4 linked regions of the Danio rerio genome follow. The protein of the gene in region 2 purifies or fractionates together with the protein of the main gene of each other region. This does not show direct contact. Links are inferred from orthologs where the notes say so. Each region holds a gene or a part of one and is shown on either strand. Other genes may lie near its edges.

Evidence for each region.
Region 1: the proteins of dcp1b (region 2) and bag4 purify together in Homo sapiens (affinity purification with mass spectrometry; 3 studies listed by BioGRID and IntAct, counting the BioPlex papers as one, with this or other methods). This does not show direct contact. The link is inferred for Danio rerio from reciprocal best matches to the Homo sapiens genes DCP1B and BAG4.
Region 3: the proteins of dcp1b (region 2) and edc4 purify together in Homo sapiens (affinity purification with mass spectrometry; 3 studies listed by BioGRID and IntAct, with this or other methods). This does not show direct contact. The link is inferred for Danio rerio from reciprocal best matches to the Homo sapiens genes DCP1B and EDC4.
Region 4: the proteins of dcp1b (region 2) and ddx6 purify together in Homo sapiens (affinity purification with mass spectrometry; 6 studies listed by BioGRID and IntAct, counting the BioPlex papers as one, with this or other methods). This does not show direct contact. The link is inferred for Danio rerio from reciprocal best matches to the Homo sapiens genes DCP1B and DDX6.

The regions. Positions count from the first base shown.
Region 1 is NC_133183.1:54,296,864-54,305,309, forward strand, and holds the start of bag4 (BAG family molecular chaperone regulator 4), read right to left. Parts: upstream 4,705-8,446; 5' UTR 4,562-4,704; coding exon 4,418-4,561; intron 1-4,417. UniProt on the Homo sapiens protein: Inhibits the chaperone activity of HSP70/HSC70 by promoting substrate release. Prevents constitutive TNFRSF1A signaling. Negative regulator of PRKN translocation to damaged mitochondria.
Region 2 is NC_133179.1:20,904,620-20,912,810, forward strand, and holds the start of dcp1b (mRNA-decapping enzyme 1B), read right to left. Parts: upstream 5,117-8,191; 5' UTR 4,910-5,116; intron 4,171-4,909; 5' UTR 4,143-4,170; coding exon 3,999-4,142; intron 3,838-3,998; coding exon 3,797-3,837; intron 3,534-3,796; coding exon 3,406-3,533; intron 935-3,405; exon of another isoform or gene 686-934; intron 1-685. UniProt on the Homo sapiens protein: May play a role in the degradation of mRNAs, both in normal mRNA turnover and in nonsense-mediated mRNA decay. May remove the 7-methyl guanine cap structure from mRNA molecules, yielding a 5'-phosphorylated mRNA fragment and 7m-GDP.
Region 3 is NC_133193.1:23,282,167-23,289,888, reverse strand, and holds part of edc4 (enhancer of mRNA-decapping protein 4), read left to right. Parts: coding exon 1-46; intron 47-185; coding exon 186-309; intron 310-2,410; coding exon 2,411-3,024; intron 3,025-5,809; coding exon 5,810-5,911; intron 5,912-7,722. UniProt on the Homo sapiens protein: In the process of mRNA degradation, seems to play a role in mRNA decapping. Component of a complex containing DCP2 and DCP1A which functions in decapping of ARE-containing mRNAs. Promotes complex formation between DCP1A and DCP2.
Region 4 is NC_133193.1:46,837,585-46,845,964, forward strand, and holds the start of ddx6 (probable ATP-dependent RNA helicase DDX6), read right to left. Parts: upstream 4,688-8,380; 5' UTR 4,647-4,687; intron 4,352-4,646; exon of another isoform or gene 4,264-4,351; intron 274-4,263; 5' UTR 1-273.

The sequences.
Region 1 (8,446 bases), on a different chromosome or scaffold from region 2:
TTGCGCTTATCATAAGCGTTTTGAGACGTTTTTCTGTATTCAAACCCAATCGATTTTTACTAGCATCGAGCAGAAGAGTATGCGAAACCACTTCTTGGCATTAGATGGCGCTACACTACTTTAAGCTTCTGACACCTGCTTGTAACACAGAGGAAGAAGAGAGAAAGTTGACATGCTTGTTGTTAAAGTTACTGGCGATTCGAACAAGCATGCATGGTTCAAGTAGCTTCAATGACGCTTTTGCGCCTGGCGTTTTGCGCGTTGGTGTGCACGATCACATTGGCACCCTTTATTTAGTCACAAGGTGTTAAACGTTGACAGAAAACGTGAGCAAAAAGTGTCCCGGTGTGCACGGGCCTTGACAGTCGGATAAGTTTAAAGTAAAAGAACACATTGTCAGAATGCATTTTCTTGAGAATAACTTTTTCTAAATATTGTAATAGGTATATTTTAAGACCATGCATTTTATACTAACGTATGCTATTTCTAAATGGTATTTAAATGTAGGGATGCAACGATTATAAATTATGGGTGTGCGATTATAGTCTAAGAAAAAATCACGGTTACACAGTTATCACGATTATTTGCATTCATTGATTTAAACCCCACTAGTTTAAAACTAAAATTATTTTAAATTTGGTTTTGTAGTTCCGGCCTAAATAAATATTTGTTGTCCCATTTACATTGTCAGGTCTTGATCCCAAATTCCGATTTGTTGCCTATATCTGATTTGTTAGCCTGTCTGTTTACACGTTGTTTTAATTGTGACCCATATCCAATTCATGCGTTTACACTTCCCATACAATTTACGATGTCGCGCATGCATAAAGGCAGATTCTAGCATCTGTGCCATGATGATATGTACAATCAATTTATAAATAATTTTTTGTTTGCGTCTAACCATCCACACAAAATAGTCTTATTATTTTGTTGCAGTCGTAACATGGATATTTTCTCAAGTTGTCATTAAACGTGGAGCTAACAAATGATGCCGATGCCGAGTGTTATCAGCCGAGCTCGGGCTCAAGGGCAGCCAAGCTCAGGCCAATTACTACCTGCTATCTGGGACTAGCCACGATGGAAGAAATTGTCTTGTTTTTAGCTCTGCGAAATATGCGAAGTGTAGTAAAATCAGTGAATGGTTCAGTTCAGTCCAGAGTTACCCCTACACAGTTTATGTAATGCTATGGCCCTGGTGTGTGTGTGTGTGTGTAGTTGAAGATGTAGCTTTTGCCTGTGCGCGCAGTGCTGCGCACTGGTGTTGGAGAGAATAAAGTTGTTCTATGTGAAGCCGCAGTGAGTGTATTAATAGCGACAAAAAGCAAAAGTTACAACACAAAGTTTGCCCAACTTTAAAATTATTTTGAGGCGGAGGTGGGAAAGGGCCGTCATCGGAGCTTGCACTTATGGTTCATGTGCTGTATATCCTCCACCATTCAGAGGAATGTATGGGTAACGAGAGAGGTCTCAGGTCTGGTAGGAGCAAATTGTGGCGACTGACCACTTTCCTCCTCTGTTTCCTCTGATGTTGTTTACCGCGCCGTCATCTCCACATACGCTCTTCCTTATGTTATTAAACCGCGGAGAAGCACCACATTGTTGCAAGTTTAATGATGTACAGAATGAAACGCCTCAATAAATCCGATCTGCCTGTTTACATAACAGTCGCATTGTCACATATCCGATCTATATCTGATTTATTTCCACATATGAAGGAGGCCTGAAACCGATCTCTGAATATCCGAATGCATGCGTTTTTTTTGTGTTTACATGGTCATAGAACAGATCCGATCTGTGTCACATATTGGCAAAAAAAATCGGAATTGGGTCACATTTAACTGGCAGTGTAAACGGGGCCTAACAGACCAGCACAGACAAACTAAAATGTTTACTCTATAGACGAATTACCATGTTTGTTAACATTCAGGATGCGCGCACAGGGAGGTGGCAGAAAAAACCGGGAGCGCTAGCATTTACAGCGAGGGAATGACATCCGATGCAGTACAGAGTCTGTTGTTGTCTTAGAAATAAAATATATCGATTGCACATTATATATATTATTTACATAATGCTTTCAGCATATTATAACAGCTCGTCACCCAGTGATAAGCACAGTGATTCGGCAAAATTAACGTTAAAGTGAGCGGCGTTCGTCTGACGGGTTCATTTGGATAGCACCCTCCCAATGAATATTGGATAAGACAAAATAACTAAGCATCCAGTCCCAAACATACAATCTCATTGAAGCTCCAAGTGATTTTACAAGATAGAAGTTAAAGGTGTACAAGTCTTTGGATGCCAACAGTGTTCTGTGTGGTCATGTGCAAGAAATAATGCTCCATGATGACCAGATTTAACACTATGTAGAGCTAAAAACCGAGGTTCTGCATAGCCAAAGACAAGGAAAGAAGACGGAGTTAACGTTATACAAGCTAAGCCCCGTGTAATTAATCACCAACACGCAAAACGACTGCATTCTGACAACGAACTGCACCTGTACGGCAGGATATGTGAACCTACACATAGAGGTAAAGTTGGTTTTATATTCGCACATTCAGACTTTCTCCTTAATAATATAATTTCATAAAAGTATTATCTGCCAAAATCTTATCAGCAGCCAATGACTATCACAGTACAACATTGTTCACAGTCAAATAAACAGTGTTAATGTTGTTTTCAAGTCACACTTGCAGGTTATTTCAAACCGAATATTCAAAGTGTCATGGTAATATAGGGAGTGTGTCACAAGTTGTCACTGAATGAATGTGTGAATATGAAACCAAGTTTACCTCAGTAACTTACACTTTCACGTTTCATTCTTAGCATTCAGTGTCGGCAGTTTAATTCACCTTTGTAACAGTTTTTGCTGAAATCATTTCTGCAATCAAAAACGAGTAATGTGTCTGATTCAGCATAGCGTCAACTTACCTGATATGACATGACAACTGCAGAGTACAGCATTTCTAATTAGGTTGTCACTTCATTCAGCTCCCTTTTAGCCAAAACGTCTGCAGTTAGCATTAAAGCAGTGTGGTGTATGATAAAAGTTACGTTTTCTATTTTTTTTTTTAATTGGCATCTAATTTGGCATCTTACCGCACAACATGACATCTTTCCTATTGCAGCCTGACTTTTTTGCAACCAGGAACCCGCGTGACGTCATGTATGACGTAGGTTGGTAATTGGTCTATTGTTCTCTGTTTAAAAGCCACTTTTGTTCATGTAGTTAAGAAGAATTTAAAGGTGCTGTATGTAACTTTTTGAATTTTTTACAGCGTAAAAATACAATACATTTGCAGAAATTAAAAAAAACATGCTAAGTGAACTTGTTTTTTTTTTTTTTCTGAAAAACAATGCTTAAGTAAGATATTCTGCTCTGAAAATGTGCATTACGTCCCAGAAAGTCGGTCTTTGTTTTGGTCTTTTAAACCGCCCAATTCCAGTTTAGCTTAAGTACTTAATATTTAATTTATGTATTATTTTAAAAAGTTAGAATTGAGTAGATGGTTTTCATTAAGTAATAAACAATAGCTAAAATGTAAAGTAAAGTGTGTGAATTTGAGTTGAACATGCAGAGGAAGAATAAAATAAAATAGAAAGAAACACTTTTCACGTGGAGTATAAGATGAAATGTAAGGTATAGAGGGCCCTTGCAAAATTGGTGAGTCCTGAAGTAAAAAGTTTTAGCCCTGGCCTAAGTGATGTTTAATAAAATAAAAAAAACAACAACTATTTTTCAAACATAATTTTAAATGTTACTTTGAAGGTACAATCCTTAGCATCAGCACATCAAGTAATAAACTTGATTATATTTTAAACGCTCCACAACTCTAATAAACTCACACACACTCCATGTATAACATACATGTCGTATAGGGATCGCGTTCACTCGAAGTTCAACCGTGTGACGCGCATGCACACAAAGGGCAGTGCAATTTGTCCTGGGGGTCAGATTTCAGAACCACCGAGTCCAAATTGATCCACACACGGTTGCATTTTAGCAACCAATCTGATAGTGTTGACCTGCACTAAGAAATTGGCTATATAAACATATATTCTTCACAATATCAGTGAGTTAATTGTTTATGCTCAGAATAAGGTAAAAGACTTACTGAAAACACATTCCATTAAAAAAAAAAACTGTTTGCTTTAAAAGTATTAAACCCAAGGTGTCATCAATGAAATTTGCACGCAACACTTCAGTGTTTCGCAGTCATACAGTATGCCTTTACCTGGAAACATTACGTTAAACAAACCATGTGATTTTACCCTACGACTTATCAACATACCCAGTGGGCCTTACTGAGTCAGTGGCGTGCAGCTAGATGATTTTTTGCCGCATGAATGATAGAAATGCGGTAACGGCTTCTGTAGTGTGTGTTTATACCTCGACGGCATCTGTAAACAAAGGACTTACCATGCCGTTGTTCCAGTTAACGTTATTGTTCTCTGACTTGTAACTTGAAGGCCAGGGTGACTTGGTTTCAGGCTGCATTTGCTGATGCATGATCCACGAAGCCTCACCTCTGCCTCTGTCGCTGCCAGCTGAATCGAAAGCCATTCCTTGTAACGCCACTAACTCTTTTTGCCTTAATTTAATTTCTTTCAATCACAGATTTACTTAAAAGAGACTATTTTGTCGCCACCACGTTTCACAAGATGCTGCAGCTAGATGCGTCAACGGTATTTATTTGCAATATTTGTGTTACACTGGTGAAGCACGGCACTGTCTTTCATTTCAACTCACCAGCCGACCCCTTAACTGACAGCTCAACTGGCCAATAGGAAACATGTACGCTGTTCACGCCACCTCCATGTACGGCCGGAAGTTAAAAATAATAAATATTTCATTACAATGCAATTACCGAGCAACAATAATTATTGTGGGGGTTAGGTTTAGGGTTCGGGTGGGCGTTAATAAAATGCAATCAATTGGTAATTCGATATATTTATAAAACAATTTTTACATTTCCGGGTTCCTAAGCAGGGGATTTCGTCATAGTTGGTGAACTTGGAGCGCAACGTATGAGAGAGTACCATTTAAGATTTTACAAAAATTTTACCCTGTTAAGCTTTTTAACCAGATTTATTGAAGACATGGATGTCAATTGTTCAGTTTTATACTCAGAAACAGTACCTCATATTTTCTGCCATTGTTTGTATACAAAATGGTTATGGAAGTGCTGTCAAATTTTGGAAGTGTTGAAATTTTCTTTTACTGTATGAATATGTTATTTTTGTTTTGTTTTTCAACTATGATAAGAAGTTGGAAATTGAAGCTTAAGTTATTAATCTTCTGATTATACTTACAAAGTTTCATATCCATCGATGTAAATTTAGCAATCATAAACCTGTTTTGGGTACTTAAATAACTAAATAATTATAAAAATACAATTAAGGAGAGTGAAAAAAAAAAAAAAAGCTGTTAAAACCATGTATTTGTTTGACACTTATAAGTTATTGTGAGATGGCCTAGCATTATTTATTTGTAATATTATTATTTTTTCTGTTGTTTTATTTTGTTTAACCTATTGAGTTTTTGTATCTATATAATTTTTTTATACTTTTCATTCTTTGTATACCTCTGGCATTGTTTTGTATGTATCCTTCTTGCATTAACAATAAAAAAACGAATGAGAGAGTATTACAAAAATGTTTGCATTCTAATTTGCTTAAATAATAAAATAACTTCACGATATTTATACGACATTCAGAACAAAATAAACGAGGCAAAAACCAATAATAAAAACAATAACAAATATATATATATATACATACAGCCCATACAGTAAGTCTTCTGTTTCAACACTAATAAACGTGGACAATGATTTATAGTTTAATAATTTATAATGATTGTAATTTCACTGTTCTGTGCTTTGCATTTATCTTTTGTGGTTCAGTCAATTCGAGAGAAAGGTTTGTGAACGGGTTGCTTTTAAAGATCCGACTCAAACAGATTAGTAAATGGGATAGCAAACAAATTGTGTAATCTAACCACTATCATCTGTGATTTTTTTTTTTAATTTTATTTGCATAACGAGAACAATAGCATACAAAAAAATTAGGAATACAATGCTTACATTTTTGTACAGTAAAGGAACATCAGTAGAAAAAAAACACAAACACAAAAGAAAATAAAAATAAGGGGATATAGAAATTACAAAAAAAAAATCGCATAAGAAAAAGATTTTAAAATTGCATACATTGTTATAGCTTTTTAATTTATTTTTTTTTATTTTATTTATTTTGTGTGTGTGTCTTTTAGGGTTTCGGTATAATTGGACTATTTTTGTTCCCATATATTATCATTAAATTAATAAACAAATTTTGCTCCAAAGTTTTATTATTAATATTGTACATCAAAATAATCATCTATGATATCGAACTATAGTCGTCGTTGCAGTTCACGTAAATACACTATCAAAAATACGAAGGGACCTGAACGTTTATATATCTATGGACCTGAACCATTGGTAACCGAAATGGTTAAATTTGCACCGGAAGCGTTTGGTTCTGCGTAACATCCTGTGGAATAAAGGATACGCGTTTGAAATAGTCCATGGCTTGATACTTTGTGTTTAAAAAACAATTCCCAAATGTCAGCATAATGAATTACATGCCAGGGACCGCGAGCCTCATCGAGGACATCGATAGTAAGTTAATTGCGAAATAAGAAAATGTGTTCGAGTGAATGAACACCGGCGAGACTGTTTTTTTTTTTTGTAATGATTTTTGTAAAAGTCATGTTAGTGGTAAACCGACAAGTATAACCTGAACGCTCTGTTCTATTGTTACGCAAGCTTAACTTTATTTTATGTAGCCTCATCTAGTTATTTAGTTCGATTAATTTACCTTAATGCAGGTGTTTTAGGTGATCACGTGATGAAATTGACATATCTTCGAGTTAAAAGGTATTCCTGTGATTGACAATGTTTTCATTTCACAGAAAAACACCTTGTACTGCTTCGAGATGGAAGAACGTTAATTGGCATCCTCAGAAGTATAGATCAGTTTGGTATGTAAAGAGGCCGTTAATTTAGCCTATTTTTATTATCACTTCAAAATATTAAGTGGTGTTCAGGTGGAGGTCTTAACGTTAAATAAAATTCTGTTCAATGTGTAAAATGTCTGGTTGCTGTTTGTCAGCCCATACCTGTATTCAAAATGTTTTTATTTTGTTTGTTTGTTTTTCCCAATGGGGTCATGTTTGGAATGGTATGAAAAAAAGAGTTGTGAGCTTTTTTATTTTCTTTATTATTAGCAAAACTACAATTATATTTTAACACGTTACTTTTTTTTCTTCCACAGCCAATCTAGTTTTGCATCAGACAGTTGAACGTATCCATGTAGGTAAAAAATTTGGTGACATACCTCGAGGGATATTTGTCGTCAGAGGAGAAAATGTTGTCTTGCTTGGAGAAGTAGTAAGTACAGCTTTTCATCATTCTGCAACTTTTTGAGTGATTTGTAAAGCATGTTTCCAATAATAAAAACGATAGCAAGCCATTTTTAGCATTAATGCCCTCGTGTTTTTGTAGTTTTGACCCATCATAGTTACAGTTAAGATGTGGACATCATGTATAACGGTCTCCAGCATCATCTAGTATAGAGGTAAAGTTGGTTTTAGATTCGGATAGTCAGACATTTTCCTTAATAGTATAATTTTAGAAAAGTATTCTTTGCCAGTTCTAATTAGGGAAATCATATAAGCAGCAAATTAATATCAAAGTACAACATTGTTCAAAGTCAAATAGATTGTGTTAATGTTGTTTTGAAGTCATACTTGCATGCTAATTCCAATCGAATATTTAAAGTAACATGGTAAACAATATAGGGACTTCTAAATGAACGAATGTGCGAATATAAAACCAACTTTACCTGTATTCATCTAGTTACTACGGAGCCGTTTTGACAGGAGCAGTGATGTTCATGACGCATCCAAGCATTTATATGTCAAAATTAATTTTATTTGTCTTACAAATGCTACAAACAAACACAGTCAAAAAACTGTTTCCCCGCTACTCCTGTCAGCTGATCACCCATCACCTGTGAGCCCTTGCGTAAGCAGGTGAGCTGACGTGACATATAGGTGGAGTTAATCTATATCACTAAACCACTCGATCAGTGACACAGAATAATACTTTATAATATTATTATTCTTATTCAATCATGCAACAAAGAAAATATAAATATATATTAATATCACAAATGGCTCCAACATCATGTGATAATGAATAGTCATAATATGCACTCAAGAAGTCTACAACATTATTTTGACTAGCTGTAATTTTCAAGATATCTGCAATGCTGTTGTGATTCGTCATATTCTTCCATTTGGCTTCAATTGAAAAATATTTTCGGGAATCTACAAATGAGTACAAATTTCAATTTTACCTATCACTGATTTGTATACTAGCCTAATTCTAGATAAAGATTTAAAATTAGC
Region 2 (8,191 bases):
TGTTTAAGAGATGAGTGGACAGAATCCAGCACCCTTGGCACACGAGGAGGAGCGATGGACAATGCAGGACTTCTCGCTGTGTGAAACCTAATTAGTAGTGTTTGTTATGGCCATATTGGCTCTACCAAGTATTTAGCTGTTAATCGGGTACTGAAACTGTTTGATCCAGGTCATGAAGGATTTAGGGTGGGACAATATTGGGGGGAAAAAAGTAACTATTATAAGAATTACAACTGCAATTTGACTTGAAAGTTTTATAACAAAAAATGTCAAGGCTATAAAAATATCTTAGCGACTTGTTTATGGCTGTAAAATATTTATGACATGCTTAAATGTTTTCCTTTTACTGAAGAGCCGTGGTTTACTCAAACACGCTCATACATAAATTCACAGCCTTTTGATATACTCACTAAGCCTCATTGCGATTTTGGTTTTATTTTAATTAAACATTCAGTCATTCTGCAAAGAACTCGTGAGGATTGTTGAGAACACCGGAGTATAAGCCAAAACACCTTAGCAATCGCATTGCAATGCACAAACAGCCACTAACAACATTTGACAAATGCAAATCAACTTCTTGGCTACCTCTCACAACATTCCAGCATTGGTGCAGCAAGATTGATCAGAGATAAAATCCCCTCAAGGGGAATTAAATCAGTGAAATAGTCTGCCTGTAAAATCTCACCTACATCAAAGTAGCCAGCACAAAGTTTCCCATCAGACCGTCAGCAGATGCACAGAATTTCACGGTCAAAGCTCATTATTGGACTGGCTGAAACATCAGGATCTACAATGATTTGTTCAATAAGCCTAAAGTAGTTTCTCTACTTTGAAAGCCTAAAGCTTTTCTCCATGCACTCTATTTGCAGGTCTCCTTATCATGAATTTCCTTGGAAGCCTGTGCATGTATGCGTGTTAGAGAGGGTTGTTATCTAATCAGGATTGGTTGGTCGGGTCTATGATGCTGGCAGGAAACTGAAAGAGAAACACACACTTCTCTGCACCATATAAGGCACTGTGGCTCTGGGGCCTCTCAAACAGGCCCGCCTGCCAGCGATCTCTGATCTCTCGTTCTCTCACACACACATACACTCACCAGTATGACAGCTTTTTCAATCTAGACACACTTTTACTGCAATTAAGCTCTGAAGTTTTTGGATGGATGCACTCCCTCTGCTCCCTGCCCATCTACACCTTGGTTATTAACATGTGTTTCTGTTTGACATTGATCCTCCTTAATACATGTCAAAATTCATTTATATCAGTCACATTTGAAGGTGGTCAAACTTTTGTCATTAGCACAGTCGGCTGATGTCTGTGAACACCATCTGTGTGCAGCCTGATTTTTTTTTTGTTCTTGCAGTCTAGTGCATTGAGGGGCCAGTGATTTAATGTGCTTCCACATTCACAGTCAATTAATTTTGAAAGCGTTGCTCACTAAACTGTGCATGAGATGGAGCAGAAAACTGAAAACAAAGTTTACCTGGGCCTTAAACACTCATAAATCTGAACATTAGTAAAAGACTACTTTCTCACCAGACAATCAACCTCTGAGCATTCCAAATTAAACACACATTACCCTTTGTTGTAAATGGTGATGCAAGCACGATCCCTAGACCTATTTGGAAATAAATAAATAAATAAATAAAAATGTCTGGTGATCTCATTTGAACAACCAAAAAAACTATATCACTATTTCACTGCCACTATTAGGGCAGAGCAGACGGATGCTGAGCTGCTTATCTTTTTGGAGGACGCCCAGCACATATTAAATGTGTCTTTATAGTGAACCCCCTTGTCTACCCCTACATAACACAATCATTAAGATACATTTTATTATTGACTAAAATTGTGCACAAGCAAGTTTCCTTTATATTATATAGTCTATTTAGATAATGTATAGCCTGTGGTGCAAACAAATAAGTGCGTAATATATGTTGACCCTGCACCTCATCATTTCTCTTGTTCACTTTCTCTTTCACTTATGCATTCCTTTCTAAAGCTCGTATCCGGATATAAACTAACATCATCACTGTAAGCAATAGTCACAATCTATTTTTTAGATGTCTGGATGATGTTTTTTTCTGTTTTAAAAACATTTTAGATGTGAGTCAGTCTGTTCCTGCAGGCGAAATAGAGCAAAGTGAATTTTAAATGACATCAGTGATAGCTTATTAATATGACCAAATAATAATAATTAAATCACTCTTTATCTTGCCATCTTGACTACCTCATGATAAATTTGTCTAAAGCTGCATGCGCCAGCCCAGGGAGAATGTAATTGATGGAGGAATATTAAAAAATTTCCATTGTAAGCCAAAAAAGGTTTTGTGTGCCTGCATGCAAGCAGTCCTTCTGAAAGAGTTTGTAGCATCGTCGTAAAGCTTTAACTTCAGAGAAGTGCATTTGTTTTCCTGATTAACTGATTACAAAAGATAACGAGCCTGAATGTCCTTTTGTTAAATTTAATTTGACAATAAATCAGCTAAATTCAGGTCCATTCATTTTAATTATATTTTTAATAAAATAAACACATTTACAATTCTAAGGCTGAATTTATGTCCATGCTTTTTCTTTATGCCATTAAACTTTTTTCTCGTCTTTCCCATTTGTCATTTCAAGTGTTAGCAGGTTTGGCATGCTGTCCCGAGAGAGAACCCTGAGCTCGGAGATAATTGAGCCCAGGGCTCCCTCCTGGTCAGTTAGCATGTAAGGAGGTACGAGATCAGGTAGTTCTTGAGAGCTTCTCTTGGTACAGGAGGAAAGGGGAAGATGGGGGGCATGGGGGGATTCTTCAAAAAATTAAAATGAGGGAGTAATGTTAGTCGGGCTATTTATAGTCAGTTTGATATAACGTGCTTCTCTCAAAATTAGTTTGTAAAACTTCACTTACTTTCTTAATTGGTCAATATATTATCTATAATGTCTATATTTTATTGTAACTGTATTTATAGGGCTAAATTAAATAAGTTTAGGTAACTGCATTTCTGAAATAATGTGCTTCATTAAAATATATATCGCTGACATGCTTTACCATAAACATTTGTGAAAAATGTAAAGGTAAATAAATATCATCTAGATAGAATACATTTACTTGACAATCTTATTTTTTTAACCCAATAATGCTGATTATCACCCAATAATTTAATGTCATAATCAACATTAGCCTGCTCAGGAGACATCATTGATATGTGATAATATTTTCTTATCACCCAGCCATCTCTCTCTCTCTCTCTCGCTCACATCACATATATTTTGACACACTGTATTATGTAAGGATTTCTTCATTTAAATCAACTATACATGCATACTTTGGGCTTAGCAATATTTTTGCAGTCTTTTGGTTTAGTCTAAAATATTTCACTCTGATGACTTTGAGCTCGTTCAACAAAAAGACAGACTTACAGCGAGCGTTCCTGTACAGGAGAAATGGATGCTGCAGCTGGAAATCCAAGTCCTTAGTGATTGGTTCAGTCAGGTTGTCCATACTCAAGCGATTGAGGATGGTAAAGCCATGCCTGGGGGAGGCAAGCCTGATACACAGAGAACTGACGTTAAAACTCGTAGCATGAGTGGGAAACTAAAGCTTATGAGTCTGAAGGACCTACAAAACTGCATGTGGGTGTTGTGCAGTGTAAGAGCAGACAACAGTGGTACATCTAAATGCTGAGAAATATTGTGCAGGTTATTTCTCTGACCCTTAGAGCCACATTAGATCTCTAGGGCTCTGATTTAGGGCCATACAGTACATGTGGGTGTTGCTTCACTGTTAAAAACATGTAAGAATCAAACAAACCTGCTATAGACAAACAGAGTTCCCTCCACATTTGTCTTTTCCTACAGAAAACCACAACAAAAACATACATTGATCTATTTATGTTTAAGTCGGAGAAAAATAATATTACAATTTAAAACAATAATATTATGTTTGTAGCAGTAGAAATAAATATCTCTATCCACTAAGATGTTATGTTAAGGGAGATGATCTTGTTGTTTACCCATTCATTGGTGTTGTTGTTAAAGGTGTAGAGTGCTACTTGGCTGGCTAGGTCTGTGATGCTGCTGATGTAGGGGTCGAGTCTCTTCAGAGCAGACAGACTCATTGATAAACAGCTCCCACCGCCACCTGTGCTTGCAGTCATGGCTCCAGCTCGCTTCTGTAAATAAAAACTTATGCTCTTTATTAAGATGTAATTACTCTTTATTAACATGTAATTACTGTACACCTCTATTGTATGGGTCTTTTGGTTCAGTTTGCATGTTTACCAAACAAATATAGTATTGTTTTATCTATCTATCTATCTATCTATCTATCCATCCATCCATCCATCATCTATATGTGGGTGTTGTTCAATAGTTTTGGGATAACTTTGATGAAAGGTTTTGATCCACTTCAAATGTTGTCTACTGTGTACAGAAATTAATGCGTCAGACCTTTGCAAGATTACAAAATGTAACTAAATTCGTTATTCTTAGTTATAAGCATTCATTTATATATTAATTTATACAATGAGTAAAAATGTGTGTGCATAAAAATACATTTCTTAAACTCGCATTCACTAAAATGTGGTTGACAAGCTAACCCTTACATGTAGTTACTATGGTATAACGAGTGGTTATATACTGGCCCGAGTCTAAAGAGTCCACCTCATCCTCGTCTGTATTTATTCTGGTCACTTTGACCGGTTAGGTCACCGTTGATGTTCATAGCACAAGCGCTGCGGGACATCGTACACAAGTTTAACACTGCGCTTGAGCGGTTTGTTAATATCCCTAACCCTGCATTAATAGTGTTTTTACTTTTTAAAAAATGGTATACATCATACATTCATAAGTTTACGAGTGAACTAAATAAGGCCTTGGTGAGCTGCGGTTGCTCTTTTATACATCGTACTGGAGTTAAACTTACCTCCACTTAAAATACGGCACAAATCCTAAAATACCTTTAAAAAGCAAAATTTAACTCTGTAAAAACAACACTTAAACAGCTTATTTAACGATCCGGTCTCCTTGTGTATGTTTTCAGGGATGTGCAAAGCAGTAAACAAGAATATAAGGCTTTATTTCACTTGTCTAACTCTCGTCCCGCTGCCGTCATCGCCATGTTTGCGCTGTCAAGAAGACAGAACGAGCTAATCGCCGAGCGCGCGCAAAGGGGAAAATAGTCGAGACAGAGTTACGGATGAGCCCCCAGCTGGCTCGAGCTCACCTGAGAACGCCAGCACGTTCGTTTACATCACGCTAAAGCAGTGAGCTGACGCTGCAGACTTTCTGCACCCAGGGGAACCCTTGAGGATACGAAATTCTTGCACTCCTGCACTATTGCTGCCTCGGTAAAGACGATGATTTGTAGTTTAGTTTTTGTTGCCTAATTGTTTGCGTATTCTTTCCAAAAACAAATGTTACAGTCCAGAGGCCCTGCTGCATTTGTAAAGTCCAACCGCTGTAATGTTACTGTGATTATTAAAATGGCACATTTCCCACCTGCAACTAGCCTACATAAATCTATAAATCTAAATGTACTGTTGTACCCCATTGAGCAGGGGCGGACTTGGGGCTCTAAGCAATTTCAGGTGTGGGGCCCTAGCGATGAAACTCAAAACACTCTCATTCTCTAAAGATTTTTTTTCAAAATATGTTTTAAACTCCTTTAATCTTCCTTAATCCTCTTAATGTAAAATTAAATACAATAAACTCACTCACACACAAGTTCACAAACTATACTGTATGTACAGTTTACTTGACATATTTATGATTAGTTTTTACATTTGCTGTACGGAGGAACGTTGCACTATTCATGGGGCCCCCGGTTTTAAAAAGAAGTAATGTTGTTAAAATCGTAATGGTTATAGACATTGTCATTTTTCAGGGCCCCATAATTCCCTGTAAGCGACTGCTTACTTCGCTAGTGAAGTCTGCCCCTTGAAATTGAAATAGGGGTTGCCAGTCTTTTAGATGTCATCATTATCGTCTTTAGTGGGACCTCTATCCTAAATGTAAAAGACACCTATACAGGTTTTCCCCATAAGGACCATTTTAAACCATGAAAGAAATATAAATGTATAACATATTGTTACACTGTCTCTCTATCTGTCTGTCTGTCTGTCTGTCTATATTTATTTATTTATAAATATGATTATAAATTTATTTTGTTTATTTAAAATGTTAGGCATTGTATTATTATTATTTTGTATTATCTACGTGTTGTGTTTGCTTTACTATGCATTTGTTTTTCTGTTTATATATATATATTTCCACACACGCACACAGGCTACATTTTTCTATGCTTTTTTTCTCTTTAGCATTTCCACAAAGCTCATTGCACTGCCCCATTGGCACCGGAGCCAAGATTGAAAATCCTTTCCTCTCAAGATAATTTACTCAACTGCACTTTATAAAGGTACCACTAGAGGTCATCATTACCTAAATACTCGTGTTTAATTAACTTGTTCAGCATCATTTCCAACCTATTTCTGAGAGAGCACAGCAGCCCATGCAGATTTTTTTTCTAATTCTGTTAAAGTGATCGTGATGTTATGTACACATCTATATGTTTTAGCTAATTAAACACTGCAGAAAAGTTTTAACCAACATTTAGCCTACATTAGATCTTAAACTTTTATATTGATTACACGCTCAGTTTAAACTGATCAAGATTCTAGTAGACAAGAAAAAATTATGTATATCTTCAGTTAAGCCTAGTAAATTAGTTTAGTAGTCTGTAATTAAAGCATTAGTAAAGGAATCTTGTATGTGGCTGCAGAGCAATCACTGCTTTTATCATATTAAGTGTGCAGACAGATACATGATTCGTCTTGACATTTGAAATGTGGCACTGGAAGAGGATTTTTATAATCTTTGAAGAGGCACGGTAACCAGTTTGCCTTATGTACCGATGACCATGTTTTTTTGGACCCCTGAGTTCCCAGAAACTCATTTTATTACAGGGTGGCACCGAGAAACACATTGCGAACATTTCCTCTGTGCTTTGTATAAACATACCAAAGTTAATCAATTATTTGGGGATGCTGATGGGAAATCGCTGACCTCTATGATGAACTTTTGTCCAAAGCAAAATTCAATCAAAGAACTTGGCCGTAGATTGGAGGTCTGTGAATTGGGAGAGTTGGTTCTTCGTTCAAACAGAGGAAGATCTGAAAACCTGCAGTTCTGTGTGTCTCTTACAACCTCATGCATGCTTCTTCTGACTGATTGAATATTCAGCATATGCAGTTCTGAGCGAGAGTGAGAGAGAGAAGGATAATCTGGGGGCAGAGGATGTCTCTTGGGACATGTGAAGTTTTCTCATGGCCGGAGGGAGGGACCGAGGAAGGGCCTGCTAAATTCAGACTAGACCGTTTGCTGATGAAAGATTCTCCGTCATCTTGCAGAAATTCCCAGGCCCCAGTCGTCCCCTTTTATCAGAGCCTGCCAGTCCTCAGGATACAGTGTGTCCTGCCATGGGAAGATCAGGTCGGTTAAACCTTAGCTGAAGGGAAAAATCATCCTGACACCTGCTGCTGGGGGACTCAGCATTCACCTCAGAAGTGGCATGCCAGCAGGAAGTGGATAATAATGTCTAAACATGGTGCTCAGAGCCATGACTGTGAGCGTATTTATGCCAGATTGGTTGTGGTGCAAATCATCTTCTGCAACAATTCCGGACTGTAAAAGAACTCAAATCTCCTCACTGTATTGGAGCTGACTTGCCTCGATCTTCCCAAGTTTGCTCTCTCTCCCTCAAGAGATACAGCCCGTGTGGAAAAGCGTGGAGGATTTATTCTCCTTTCTAGCGCAGTCACATCTGGAAGCAGTCAGGGAGTCTACAGGGGAGGGGGTTTGGTCGTCAGATCATTGCAGAGAGGCTGGTGGTGTGCGCTCTCTCTCCGCAGGGCCACAGACTGACTACTCCCCTTTCTCTCCAATATGGACTGGACGCGGCCGATTCTGCACTCTATTTCCTAACGAGGCGCGACGCAAACTACGCCTGTTGTGGGACATCTCAGATGGAATCGATCATATGTGAAGATTGAAGCCCGTGAGATCTGGAATATACACACCTTTTACCTTTTGCTGCGCTTTCTGAAACGGTCTCTGAAACTACGCCCGCTTTTTTTCTTCTTCTTCTGGCTGTTGCAGCATCCTTTTCGATCAGTTTGCGAGCGAATCGCGCCGATTTGATTATCGATTA
Region 3 (7,722 bases), on a different chromosome or scaffold from region 2:
GTCTGACCATTGTCACGGCCATGAGCAGCTCAGACAGCGGTGCAAGGTGGTGTATTTAACTAAATGTTTTCATAGTAAAACTTGATTAAACCTTTTAAATCTCATATTAACTTCACAATGTGCAAAAAATGTCATACCGTTTGTCATCTCCTGCAATCAAAATGCAATATTTTTTTTTCTTTTAGAGGTGGAGATGATCTGACTCAGAGCCCTAAAATGTCTGTTGAATGTGTCAACAGCAGTTTCGCCAATGCAGGCAGTCCAAGATCCAACTCCATCCTCATCTCAGGCCTTGGGGAAAACATCCAGGTACCAATGGAAATGTCATTCTCAATGTTGCAATATAGCGTGCCTCAGTAGGTCTTATCTTTGTTTCAGTGTAAGAAAGATGTTGCTTTACACCAGGTGGTGAGATCTACTTTTCTGCAGAGTTCCGCTTCAAGCCTGGTCACACAACTAAGTTAACTAAGTAGGATTTAAAGGAGCATTTGGTAAATAAAGAGAGGTGCATTTAATCAGGGTTGCAGCTAAACCAGGCGTGTCCAAACTACGGCCCGCGGGCCATCTGCGGCCCGCAATCAGTTTTGTGGTGGCCCGCGAGGCTTTTTATAAATAATAATAGAATCTGGCCCGCTATACAAAAATGAACGTAATTCAATAAATAACCACCGGGTGTCGCTATTACATGCATTCAATTAAGCAGTAGTTCTTGTTATGATCTATCTATCTATCTATCTATCTGTCTGTCTGTCTGTCTGTCTATCTACACACAGTTGAAGTCTGAATTATTAGCCCCTCTTTGATTTATTTCTTCTTTTTTAAATATTTCCCAAATGATGTTTAACAGAGCAAGGACATTTTTACAGTATGTCTGATAATATTTTTTCTTTTGGAGAAAGACTTTTGTTTTATTTCGACTAGAATAAAAAGCGGTTTAAATTTTTTATGAACCATTTTAAGGTCAAAATTATTAGCCCCTTAAGTCTTCAGAACAAACCATTGTTATAAAATAACTTGCCTAATACCTTAACTTGACTAGTTAACTTTATTAACCTAGTTAAGCCTTTAAATGTCACTTTAAGCTGTATAAAAGTGTCTTAAAAATATCTAGTCAAATATTATTTACTGTCATCATGGCAAAGATAAAATAAATCAGTTATTAGAAATGAGTTACTAAAACTAATATGTTTAGAAATGTGTGGAAAAAAATCTCTCCGTTAAACAGAAATTGGGGACAAAATAAATGGGGGCTAATAATTTAGGGGGGCTAACAATTCTGACTTCAACTGTATATATATATATATATATATATATATATATATATATATATATATATATATATATATATATATATATATATATATATATATATATATATATATATATATATATATATATGCGTGTCTGTGTGATGTATGTAAAATTTGGCCCGCGACAACGTTTGTTTTTTTGCATCTGGCCCTCGGCCCAAAAAGTTTGGACACCCCTGAGCTAAACTCTGCAGAAAGGTAGATCTCCAGGAACAGGGTTAAGAACCACTACTTTACACACTCCCTGTAGTACCAACACAGTACTTTATAAAAGTTTGGGTATGGTTTTTGAAATGTATGTCGTTATTAATCAAGGATGCATTCGATTTATAGTTCACTCAAAAGGAAAAGGTGGCTCACCATTTACCAAAACCTTTGGGTTTGATTTCCAGCTTTCTTTAAAATATTTTTTGTTGTGTTTCACAGGAAAAAAAATCTTAATCTGCATTTAGTGCCAGTAGAGGCTGAGTAAACTTAAATACAAAAGATTGCTTGAATTATCCCTTTAATTCAGTTAGTGATAATAGAGTTTATTGTTGTTACAAAAAAGTGGCATGTTTAGTAATGTTTTTACTTTTAAATAAGAGCTTTGTTATTTCATAAGCAAGTGTTGTCCAAGTGTACCATTGAATAATAATATTATATTTACTGAACATTTACTAAAAGGAGCAACAGAAACCTAACTGTTAAACACATTTTTATTATGCCCTATTTTTTACAATTTTTATCTGTAAAGATTTTAAAGAAATATTTTTAAATGTGAATCCTTCAGAAAGGCTAACTTTTTTTACCAAAAGTAAACCTAAACTGTTTTAGATTTTTAGCTTATGTATTATTTATTGCTGATGATGTCTTTTTGTTGTTGTAATTAAATTAATAATAATATACATATATAATCGCTGAATATATGTGACATTTAATGAATGTTGTAAATTTGATCTGGTTTTTTTATGGAATAGTCAGAGAAGCTGATCAGACTTCCTCACTCACAATATAAACTGTCAATCCTTCAAATTTGATTCCAAATCATTTACCAATTCTTCTGTTTATCTGGCATCCCTCTATCTCCACTTTTCCATTTAAAATCCCAATCTGGTTAGGCTTTCGCTCCCCCACTGGTTCTTTCTTCATCCCTCCTTCAAGAAGCCTCTCTGCTCTGCGAAGCTGCTCCTTATTCTCACCGACTCCCCCTCCCTTATTTCCCATCTCCTCCTCCGCAGGTTTCCCCTCCAAACCCTCCTCTCTCTCTGGATCTCCAGGCAATAGATCCCATGGTTGTCCCACAGGCGTCTCCAACAAGAGCTCGCTCACCGGATGTCATCTCATCTGCCTCTACTGCAATGTCCCAGGACATACCTGAGATTGCCTCCGAGACGCTGCAGAGGGGACTGTCCGGTGCCAATGCTGATTCGGGCCCCATCCTGCACTCTGACAGCATGGCATCAGCCGCATCAATTCTCCACCTGCTATCTCCAAGGGCCCGGAGCAGCGCTGAGCACAGTTTGTTGCCTCTTGAATTGGGTGCAGCGTCTGTGGATGGAGAGCAGAGACTCAGTAACACACCATCCCTGCTGGAGACTGCTCTCTCACAGGAAAACGCCGGAGCAGCCGGAGGATCCTGTTCTGACAGCAGTGTGAACCACGCATGGCCTGCTGCTCCTGATATCACGCGAGAGACGCGCAACAGCCTGCGAGACAACGGTTTAGGAGACTGGTGAGTACCTGTGCTTTACTATAATATATGTAATTTTATTTTTGTGTGGGTATGTTACAGTATATTTTGTCTTATTTATGCTTATGCATTTAACAATTAATGACATTTTTCATATTTAATACAATTTTAGTAATTTTAGCAGTTTTTCTAAAGTATTTTTTAGTACTTTTCAAAAGAGATGCCAATTTTTTTAGACATATGTTCATTTTAGACCACACGATACCACGGTTTAAACTTAACTGAAATAACAAACAGATGTTAGCATGGTTTTCACTACATTGGTTCTTCCATGGCGGGGCGCCACACCAAAATTCATCCTTTACATTCATACATTACAGCTTCTCATTCAAAACATTCAGTCGTTTTTTTTTATAGCGGGTAATAATCACACGAAAACATATTAAAAGGTAAGTGAATTATAACAGCGCAAACTTTTCTCTAACCATAGTAGTGCTGTGCGTAATTTGTTTACCCCTTTTAAGTGACAAACTGACTGACAGGTGCGTGATGCGTGAGGCCAGCAAACACGACATAGCTTTCAGTTAAGATGAACACAGTTTCCATTATTATATTTATAGATAAAGGTCTATGGCTCTGCATACAATGACTTTATCTTGCTGGAGTTTATAGCCGCTTCACTTTACTTCAGGATGCTTCAGTGCCGCTCTGCAGGTTCTAATAAATGTTGAAGACCTAATAAATGTTACTAAATAATAATTAATGTTAAATAATATTAAATGACCTAATAAATGTTATATAAACTAGTTACATGAACGCACTAAATTGCACTTCAGCAGCGTTTATTTGAGAGCTCACAATAAAAACTGCTGTTCAGCCGCGTATATTCGAGGGGGTGTGCAAGAAGTGTGCACGGATAAAATCAGCGTGCAAGTAAAGAGATTTGCATGTTTGTATTACATAAATGCGATCTCAACTTGTAATACCGCACTCACAACATTTGTCATTGAAATAACGCCACAGGTAGATCTGTGCAAAAGGCCTGCCGCCACAGCTGGAAAAAATCCTAGAGGAAACACGGGTTAGGGTTTACTTTCTTTGTTTTTCATTTATTAAACCGTTTAGATTCCACCCATTTACGACAGAGATCCACCACCAAAAAAGTAGTATGACAAATGACAGAATTGTAGATTATAATTATTAAAAACAATAATCATGGAACAATAGGTACAAAGTCAAGATTGAAACGGGTCTAAAAAATTGTGTTTCTTACCAGAGGGCTGTTTCATAAAAGTCATTTAGAAAATTGGGGGTTAAAGTCAAAAGCCTGACTTCTTTGAGCTTAAATAAATGCAGATGGTTAAATTTGTTCCATAACAGCAAGTTGAAGATCATTTTATCTAACTAATCGGAGTTCAGCTTAAATAATCTAGATAACTGCTCATGCACGTTGCTGTCCTGTAACATGGTCGAGCATGGATCATTGGGATTTTTAATTTGCTCTGAAAACTCTGCAATTTGCTGCTTTACCTTTGACACTTGTTTCCCATGTCCCGCGGGAAAGTATCTATTTATTTATGTAACCTACTTTTATATCTGTCATTGTTTTTTTTTTTTGTATAATTTTGATTTTATATAGCTAAGTACACCCCTCACAGATCTCTGGTTTAAATTAATATTTTCTACAGGATGCTTTATAATAATATGTTTGTCCATATACATTATATTATTCAGTACCAAAGCAAAATTTGGAACTAATCTAACAAAAATATACTGAAGATCAGTCCAATTTATTTTGTATTTGATTCATTTGGAATAACTTGTTTGAATTTATATGTACATGTTGTTCTATTCTTAAAGATATTTGGTGTAGGTGTGCGTGCGTGCGTGCGTGTATGCGTGTGTGTAGATAAATGGGTAGATATTTACTATTAAGTGACTATAAAGTTTTTTTATTATTATTATTTGTTTTATTATTAATATCATTATTAGGCACTTAAGTAGAATAAAATGGCATTAAATTATCACAAGTGAATGTTAACATTACTTCGATTAAGCATGAAATAAAGACTTGCGCCCCATTCATGAGGGGCTTCAGCATGAACGTTTGACAGAGGGCATGTCTGAAGTCAGCCAATGAAATTAGTCAGCAATAGGCCACTGTCTGAGCTGGTGTATTTGCATACAGCGATCTGATTTGCTGACGCTTCTTTTGGCACTTAAAGTTGAGCAAATTCATAAAAAGTGAATGGGAAGAGTTGAAGCTGACGCCTCGTGTGAATAGGGCGTTAGCCTGAGAGTTAACCTGCCCCAGGCCAGGCTAGTTTCCCAGCATAATTTGCCAGAGGAACTGAGTCTGAACTATCATGAATTTGATTTATGAAACGGAATCCACCATTAATAAACCTGACTTAACAAAACAAGGCTGGCTTTTTCTCTAAGCTTGGTTTATGGAACAGCCCCCACTAATCATTTTTAACAACATAATGTTCCCAATGCTAATATTTATTTGAAATTAAGAAATATTGACATTTTACTTCAACACATTCCTAATAATTTCAAAGAAACTGAGAATCTTTAAGTAGTTTCTTAATTGTTTTTATAGCTGTATATGCACACAAAGTATAATTGTATCTAACTTATGACTTTATACTTATCTGTTAATAATATTAATAATAATTATTATTATTTATTTATTAATAATGTAATATTATTTTGCATTTATTAATGATCATTCGAGGTTTTATGATCTGTTTGTTATGTATAATACGTTTTAAACAGTTGTAATACTTGAAAGTGGAAAACTATAATGCTTGTTTTCTTCCAGCTCTAGGGAGGAAATAAAAGACAGGCACATTTCCTCCCCCTACCATAGACGCACATATCACCTGACTCAGAACGACAGTCAAGATGCAAGTGCAGAGCAGAGGTAAACCTTTACATTCTGGAGTCTACAAATTTTCTGTAGCGCAGATCTAAACATTTTCTTGACATGTCCACAACACAAGCCAAACTCTTCCAGGCTTCAGCTGCAGCATTGGAGAGCTAGTCAAAGTCTGGCATTATGTACATTTTATTGTAGAACTACAATAAACTTTGAATTACTGACTACTCATTTCAGGCAGTTTAGAATTTGACAACTCAAATTTTTATTTATTTTATATATATTTTTATTTATTAATATAAATTTTTGACTACTTGACAACCCTTTAACATTACAATCAGCTTTATGACGCACTGCATGAAGGGCAACATCTGAAAAACTTAACTTTGAGGCACTTAACCTTTTATATTTTTTTGTTTTGTCATGTTATATAAGCACTTAAGGAAGCTTTGCAGTCCTTGAATTTCAATTTAGGAGCTTTAATAGAAGATCTGGTGTGTGGACTAAAATCAGGGTCAAGATTTAAATTAACATTAGCGGCAACTGTGAAATAAATGTCTCAGTGGTTGACTGGTCATTAATTAGGAGCTGTAACATTACATGATTTCAGTCAAATTGACCGAATGATAGTGTAACCTTTGCTGTATGTCAGGAATGTGATTTAAGCAATTTAAATCAAGGACATGGAGGCTGTCTTTAAAAGGAAACCTGTCACAACTTTTACTTTTTTCCCCTGCAGGAGCAGTTTTACAAAAGCTTCCTGTTTATTGTTCTAAATTGAATTCTTAACTGAAAACAAAATGGATGGAACTACATTCTAAGTTACAATGTTTCTTTATTATGATTCTTATAATGTGTATATGATATGTAGTATATCATAACATGAATATACCATCAATGGAGACATGCTTTATTGCAGAGAGCAATGGTGTTCTGTAGGAAAATTCAATAGCATTTTAAATAGTATCATTTTAAATGTGGAGTCAACCTCTGTGCATACTTTAGACTTAACATAATATGTTTGATCATATTTAAAAATAAAAAATGAAATAAACTTTTTTTGGTTAATTGATCATTAATTTTGCATTAATTACATGGAACAGGTCAAAATGCATAACTAATGACATTCAAAGTTCAATTTTCATTTCAACCATTCAATAGTTTGCTGTTGCTACCATTTTTATGAAATCAGCCTCTAAAACTGCATTTTTATTTGTTTAAAAAAAACGGTTAAATGTTGTTGAAGATTATCACAGTTTTCTTTTTTGTAAGAAAATTTTAAAAAATCAAATAAAATGATCACTGTCCCTTTTGATCAAATTTCAAGCATCTATGTGGAATACTTTAGGAGAAAAAAAAAGTCTTAATGCTGTGTTCACACCAGACGGCAGGAGGATTTTCCCCCGGAACGTCAACAATGGGTGCTATGTCATAATCATGCCCCCACAAGAGCAAGTTCCTGATTGGTTAACGCAGCGCGAATGTCTGCTGAAGTTCAGATTTTTGAACTCGAACGTTTCACGGGAAACATGCGATACACGCGTTAAGAGGATCAATCGCGCAAAACACTTAACTCGCACCGCTTCATTAGCTTGAATCTCGTCATTGCGGTGCCTCATTCGCGCATATCGTATCGCAGGATGTCTGTTCACATCTTTGCATTAACTTAATATGTAAATCACTCACGATTGATACTTCTTACACTTCTGGTGTGTATATTATACAATATACTATATTGTTGTGTGTATCTACTGAGAACTTGTTTCATTTTCCTTATGGCTGCATTTACACTGCAGACCTTGTGGTCAATTCAGATTTTGTGACTCCAACTTTTTTGATGACCTGTTTACACAATC
Region 4 (8,380 bases), on a different chromosome or scaffold from region 2:
TTCAAGCAAAATTTTTTTACCAGTTCCTTGTTCCTCAATATAAAAGTCTCTTGTGGAACATCTCAATATGAATGTCACTCAAGCAACAGGTCACAGATGCTATAAGCAGGAAGATTAGCTTCAATTATCCTTCCATTAATGAGTGAATTTCTCCTCTGCAAAAGGAAAGTTTCACAGACAAGGGGCCAGGAAGCCAGTGTTAGTCTTTTCAATTGTTCTGTCCATTCCCTTCTCTCAAATTAGTTAACATGGGCGATTTCAAATGTTTTCCACCTGTGTGAGAGAGAGAAGCATTATAAACGTGAAACGTTAGACCAAACCACTACAAGATTTCAGTCAATAAAAACACTGGTTACTGGTTCCAATTTTTTTTTCAGTTAGAGGATTTTCCAAAAAAAAAAAAAAAAAAAAACTGGCATCATGCCACATCTTACAGTAGCAAAGAGAGCTTAAATAAAATAAAAAAGCATGCAAATACAAAAAAATGCCAGCAAATTCAGAAAAGATCACAAAAAAATTGTGCTTTTTGATAGTGCGGTGAGAAATTGCAGTGATGAAATTCATTTTTCATTTTCATAAGTTTGCATTATAAGAAAATGCAGTGCGTTTTATTCATTTGTTTGCATTGTGAGAAAATTAAGTGAATTTTTTAAAAAATTTGCGTTGTGAGGATTTGCATAACGTGCTGTAAAATGGATGAATAGGGCTAGGCAATTAATCGAAATCAACATTCACTAATAATCGATCTAATTTTTCCAGGACAATTTTCACAAGTACTTTCCCTACGTGTCAGGTGACCCTGCTTTGTTAAAGGCTGTGGCTAATTTCTACTTCTGTAGCCAAATATGACCTTTGGTCAAGTAGGACGATGGACTCATTCTTGAGCCTTACTTTGCACTACATTGACGAGGATTGGAAGCTGTGCCAGAAATGCCTTTAGACAGCACATAAAACTTTGAGGGCAAATAAATAAAATATTTGTTGAATTTTCTAAATGGTTAGTTTTAGATTTTGATTTTAGGCCAAATGGACCAGCCCTACAGATGAAGATCTTTTCTTATTTTGCTGGTGTTGTTTTGTGTTTTTATCTTATATATATATATATATATATATATATATATATATATATATATATATATATATATATATATATATATATATATATATATATATATATATATATATATATATATATATATATATATGTATAAATAAATATACACACACACACACAAGTTTTAAGATTTCATAGTGGCTAATATTATGACACCATATGCAAATTGGTAAACAGAGATTTTAAAAATAAATCGCTTTGTACAAGATCTGAGATAATTCCCAAATCACTACAAATTCAAAAATTTTGATCCATCAAGTTTGTACATGTTAACATTTTGTAGCAAAATCTCAATATGCAAAACTTGCTTAATGCCATCCGGACATTAACTTAAAAATATTTCTTCATCTGAACCATTTATGAAACTTAAGGAGAAGAGAAGGATGAACAATGAGTATATAAAAATTGCTTTATTGGTGTCTATGTAAACGTGATTAAGACAATATTCTGATTAAGAGTCCATGCAAATAGCGATAAATTAATCTGATTAAGGTCATTATCAAATTAAACAAATAAGATTAAGACATGGAGTATGCCAATTTTAGTCACATTACTAAACTGCAGTAGACATGTAAACACCTTGAATGAAACTATTACCATCATGTGGGATTTGCTGCATTTTGTGACTGGACATTTCATACACACAGCTGTTTGACACTATTCTCTGTACCTACCGAGTCAGTGAGGAATCACAGACACCTGCATCATGAAATGTGGAGTTTATGTTTCCAATACTGCGTGCGTTATCAAATTCCAATAAAACGACCCTCTTACAGCATTAAATACTCATCCAATATTTCATTTGTCAGGGGAGGCATGCATGAAATGTTCCTGAGTGAAAGTGCCAAACTGCAGTTAAAGTCGACAAATTTAAAACACCGGAAATTACATGATATCCCAGAGGAAATGTGAATAGCGTGGCGATTCTATGAAGTTAATTGAATTGTGCTACAACATGTAAAACAGGATCATGAAAAGAACATACAAATTGCAACTTATGCGAACACCTTAATCATATTACTGTCTTATTCAGATTAAGGCAAATAATTTAATTACTAATGTAAACTTAGTCATTGAGTGCTTAGATCAAGCAATGTCGACGAGGCATGGGACGATAAGTTTAAGGTATACCACGGTTTGGAAAAGCCAAGGTTTTAAAACCGCAAAAGTTTCCTACTATACCATTCCTAAGGTATGTCCAAGTTTTGTTTTTTGTTGTTGTTGGTTTTTTAGGACAACAGTATTTCCAGCAGAAAGGAATCAAAAAAAAAATCCAAAGATGCTGTTTTAAATTGTAAGGAAATCTGTGTTTTTTTAAACAAATGAAGACAGCATTAGTCAAAGGCTGTGTCCGAACCGCCTACTACTCAGTAGGTACTGCTTTTGAATTTAAATGTACTACTCGGCAGTTACAAACGTACGTTCTATACAGTATGAATGTGAAAAGTATGGACAGAATTCGGACGTACTATATCCACCATTTTGTCATGGTCACGTGACCTACCTGCATCAGTTGCGTTGCTTAACTTCCATTTATGAATTCTCTCACGTGGCATTATGGGACAGCGCAGCGTGCATAGGATGCGCACTCCGGAATCTCACCGGAAGTAGCAAGTCATCCGGGTACTTCTCGCAAACTGATTTTCGAACTCTATGAATTTGGACATACTACTCGACTCGCATACTGATTTTAGCATACCATATAGTATGGAAGTATACGGTTTCGGACGCAGCCAATGATTCATTTGAATTATTTAGCCTAACATGTTTACCATTACAAAATATATCAAATGTTTCTCTAAATAAAATAAATTGTGTTGAAAGGGGAGAAAAAAAAAGTTAGTTTTTTTACCCAGACATTTAATTAGAATATATTTTAAAAGGAGTAATCACAATATCGTAAAACAGAGATATTTTTATCCGAGGTTATCATACCATCAGAATCTTATACCAGCCCATGCCTAATGTCGACCAAGCAAGACATCGTATGAGGTCTAATGTGAAACTTTGTGATGCAAGATGAGATCAGGGTTAAGGTTGGGTTTGATAAAAGGTTCCATCATTTTAATTTTCTTTTAACAAAAAGTGTGCTAATTGCTCTGTGCATCTTTACCACAAACTAGCACTAACACTTATACTTCTACAATTACCTGCAATATTACAGCATCAAAAGAGTTAACACACACTCATGCAGAAATTACAGGGACAAGCTCTGGTAGAAGTGTCAAGATAAAAAAGTCTCTTGAATTTGTAACCAATTACAACTTTAATTCATTTTCAGATCTATGAACAGACCATAAACGTTATTAAATGTCTAATGTGAGTTCAATAATGATGGCAGCAGCAGCTGGCACAATGTCAACACGATAGGCCTCATTGTAAAACAGCCTCGCGTTTACCTAAAGCATTTAAAAATGACAAACTTTAATAAATGTGACTTCAGTGTTGTTATGCATCTATAAAAACAGGTGAAGTTGCACGTTGACTACACAGCTGTGGAGCTTAAAATTAGACATAACAAATGTTTGGTTACCTTAAGTTAAGCGAAAGCGTATAGTTCATTGAACTCATTCCACGAATACTAAAAAACAATGTTATGTTATACGATATAACCAGTGTCACGTTGTAGTTATTAAGCTAAAATGTACATCTTAAAGGTTAACCGTATTGATTCCACATAACGTGAAACTCGGCGTCACGCAACAAACGTTAATGCTAATGTTTAGCTACGCAGCTACCGCTGACGGCTTCAAGCCAGACAGATTTTAATAGTCGGATACATTTTAAATCTTTAGCAAACACGGTTATCATAATACGATGGAATGTGGCTTTTATTATAAGCAAATCTAAATATATAAGCTGTTAGGAAGGAAATATTAGCAGTGCTCAAGCTCGTTAGCTTTTGGCTTGCACACAGGCCGCACGCGTAACCTCAGATTCACAATCACCAGTATAAAGAACTAAACGCTCGTTTCATAAACGCTAAAACAGAAGCAAGAACATATTTAACTCTTAACTAAATCAGCTAACACAAACACTGCGAGCCAAAAAGACATCACAAATTTGTAAACACCAAGACACAAAGAAACCCACAAAACCGACTTAATCCCCAGAACACAACACGTAGATTTGACGTTCTGCAAACTTACCAAACGTGGCAGAGAATATCTTTCAGTGTGTTTGTGTTTGTGAATTATAGGTGTAGAGTTGTGACATATTTCGGGGTGTAAAGCGAGTGTGTAAGATGGCTTCCAGTCATCTTTAAACCCTCCCATAATCAGTCACATGAGACAGAGCCCTGTCTAATCCACACAAACGCAACGCATATGACGATTGTTTAGAAAACGCAATTTAATGCTGCCGTCATTTCAAATGCGTTGTTAAATATATATATATTAAGAATACGTTAATTAAGCTCTTAGAATTTCGTTTTATTTATGTTTTATTTATTTGTAAGCGGTTGAGGTCGTCACAATTACACATTTTGCTTTAAAAACGTCCTAATTACATAGCAGCGCAGTTTAATTCCTACCTGAGCTTGTTGTAGTCTTGGCTGAAGCACGGCATGTGAAGGGTGTCATTTAATTAGCTCAACGTGTTTATACTTGACTAATTGGTGTAAGGATCCATGTGGTTTAGACATACTGTTTTTTTATTTGGGTATTTAAAAACATATTTTATCTTTAATAATAATGCTTATTTTATTATTGTTGAAGAGGCTTGAAGTGCACAAAGTAGGAATCTGTTGATAGGCACGCCTGAGGTGTTTGGAGGTAGTTAATGAATTGCCTTGAGTAGTTTAATGACTAATTAGACTGACTTATGTGGCTAGAAAGTAGTTTTTTAACGTAACGTAACATTTTTGTGCATTAGTATGTCTGTTATTTATTTATTTTTCGTTGCGAAAAAACATAAATTTTGAGCACGATGACGAACGTGTCCTTAAGTTTGACATAATATACATTAAACCTAATAATTCATCAATTTTCTCTCAGCTTAGTCCATTTATTCATGAGAGGTTGCCACAGCGGAATGAACCGCCAACTTATCCAGCATATGTTTTTTTTTTTTTTTTTACAGCAGATGCCCAGCTTCAACCCAGTACTGGGAAACATCCATACACACTCATACACTGCAGCCAATTAAGTTTATACAATTCACCTAAATGCAGTTACATCCAAATATATTTAGATGTGTTGTTGGACAGGAAACGTAAGTGGACTGAGTCTATAAGGAAAAGGCAACAGAGAATGTACTTCTTAAAGAAACGATTGTCTTTTATTGTTGACAACACATCGTTGATCATATTTTCTAGTGTTTTTATTGAAATTATTGCAACATTTTGTGTGATCTATTGGTATGGAAATGCTTCTGAGGCCCAGAAGAGGTCACTGGGAAAGGTGGTAACAACAGCCAGTAAGTTCTTGGGTATAAAACAAAAGGGCATTAATAGTATATACAAAGAAAGTGTATTAAATAAGGCTATCATGATTGTCTATGATGAGAGACATCCTTTATCAAACACCTTTCAATTGTTACTATCAGTTTGTCGATATTGTGTTTACAGATGTGTGAGAAATAGGACAAAATGATCATTTATAGGGAGCGCGAGGCACAAAGTAATGCAGGGTAACGTAACATGGAGTTGTAAGGTATTTGCTCAGGGTTATTTATGAGGTGCCGTGTAGGATTTAAATCAAACTTTGCTTATCAACACATACATAAAACACGTGTATATACACCTATAAATTACTCGCATATACACCCATACTACTGGATGTTCAAAACAACATGAATGAAACTTGTGTATATACATATAAACTTGACACATGAATACACCCACATACACACGCACATACATATAAACTCGATCCTCACATAAACACTCACATTAACACATGCACATACATATAAACTTGCTGCATGCAAACACACCTATACACACTCGCATATACAGATAAACTCGATTCTCGCATAAATATCCACATTTATATGCACATACATATAAACTCGCAGCATGCAAACACACCTATACATAATCGCATATACATATAAACTCGGTCTATGCAAATACACCCTCAACAACACATGCACATACACAAACTCACTGCATGCAAACACACCTATACTGGCATATAGCCCCAATGTCTAAACTCAGTGCGTGTATAAACACCCAAAATAACACTCGCGCAAACATACAAAAAATAAATAAATAAATAAGATTCACAAACGTTTATCAGGAATCTGGTTATTGCAAAGCTTATGAAATAGAAATAATGTGATTAATAGAGGGATTAAATATGTTAAATTATGAACATATGTTAAATAAAATATTAGTCTATATAAATAGACTATTCAAAATAAGAAATATTTTTATTTAAAACCTTTTCATTTAATTAGGTAATTACATACACAAATATAAATGGACAGATAGAGCCCTTAAAGGATGTTCAAAAAGCAACCAGAATTATAAATATAAATGTACACTCAAAGTGAACTCCTCTTTTCTATTGCAAATGTTAATGTTAATGCCTATAGTCTTCTTGTTTTGTTTTTTAAAATTTTTATAATTATTATGCTTTTTATATGTTTTTACAATGTGGGTGTCAAAATTGCAAGATTTTTGGTATCATTTTGATTGTTAATTATTCACCATATACAAAAAAAAAAAAAACCCTGCTGATTAAAAGTCTCTGCTCATCATGTTGGTCAAGTTAACCCCCATGGAAAAGCTACATATATATTATCTGGATACTCCTTTTGTGTTTAATAACTACTACTTATATTTTTACAGCAGCTGGCATCCAGCATTTTGGTGCATTAGCCTGTTTATTGGGGAAAACCACTTAAGTGCATTCCTGCCCCCTACTGGACATAAGTGTGTATCATAACCCTTGACGAATAGTGACACCAATAATAAAACAAACATTAAAAACTAATATTAGACAAACATATTTTATTCAAAATGATTACTTAAGCATCCTTATATTTATTAAACCATAATAACATTTCCAATAATTTAATTGCATAATAAACCTTTAATTTTGCAGGAGCATTCCTTAGCATTATCTTTTTATTTATTTTTTTTAGAATTAGCATAATCTATTTTCATAATTCAACAGATGTAATTCTTCTATTAATCACATTATTTCTGTTTCTTAAAGTTTGCAATAACCTGATTCATGACAAAAAATAATCTTGTTCATTACACTCAAAGGACTTTTACGTTGAAATTAAACTACTTCCTTTTAAAGTGAAATAACTTCCTTTTACTGTGAAAATTCATGCATACACACATATGAAATCACTTACATATATGTATATACACAACTAACTGTATATATGTTTGAGAATTTTATTTTGTATGTTTGCACAAGTGTCATTTGGGTGATTATGCACACATCAAGTTTATATTCTTATGTGAGAGTTTATGGGTGTATATGCATAGATCAAGTTTATATGTATATGGAAGTGTGTATAGGTGTGTTTGCATGCAGCAAGTATATATGTATATGCAAGTGTGTATAGGTGTGTTTGCATGCAGCAAGTATATATGTATATGCGAGTGTGTATAGGTGTGTTTGCATGCAGCAAGTTTATATGTATATGCATGTGTTAATGTGAGTGTTTATGTGAGGATCGAGTTTATATGTATGTGCGTGGGTATGTGGGTGTATTCATGCGTCAAGTTTATATGTATATACACAAGTTTCATCTATGTTGTTTTGAACATCCAGTAGTATGGGTGTATATGCGAGTAATTTATAGGTGTATATACACGTGTTTTATGTATGTGTTGATAAGCAAAGTTTGATTTAAATCCTACACGGCACCTCATATATATATATATACATATATATATATATATATATATATATATATATATATATATATATATATATATATATATATATATATATGTATATATATATGTATATATATATATGTATATATATACATATATATATATATATATATATATATATATATATATATATATATATATATATATATACATATATATATATATATATATATATATATATATATATATATATATATATATATATATATATATATATATATATATAAAACTCTGCATTTTAGTGTCATTTTAAGCAATATTTATTTCTGGATTAGATTGTGAGGGTCATCACAAGCACACATTTTGATGTAACAAAAACATTTCCTAAAGATTTAGAATAAAGGAACACACACACACACACACACACACACACACACACACACATATATATATATATATAT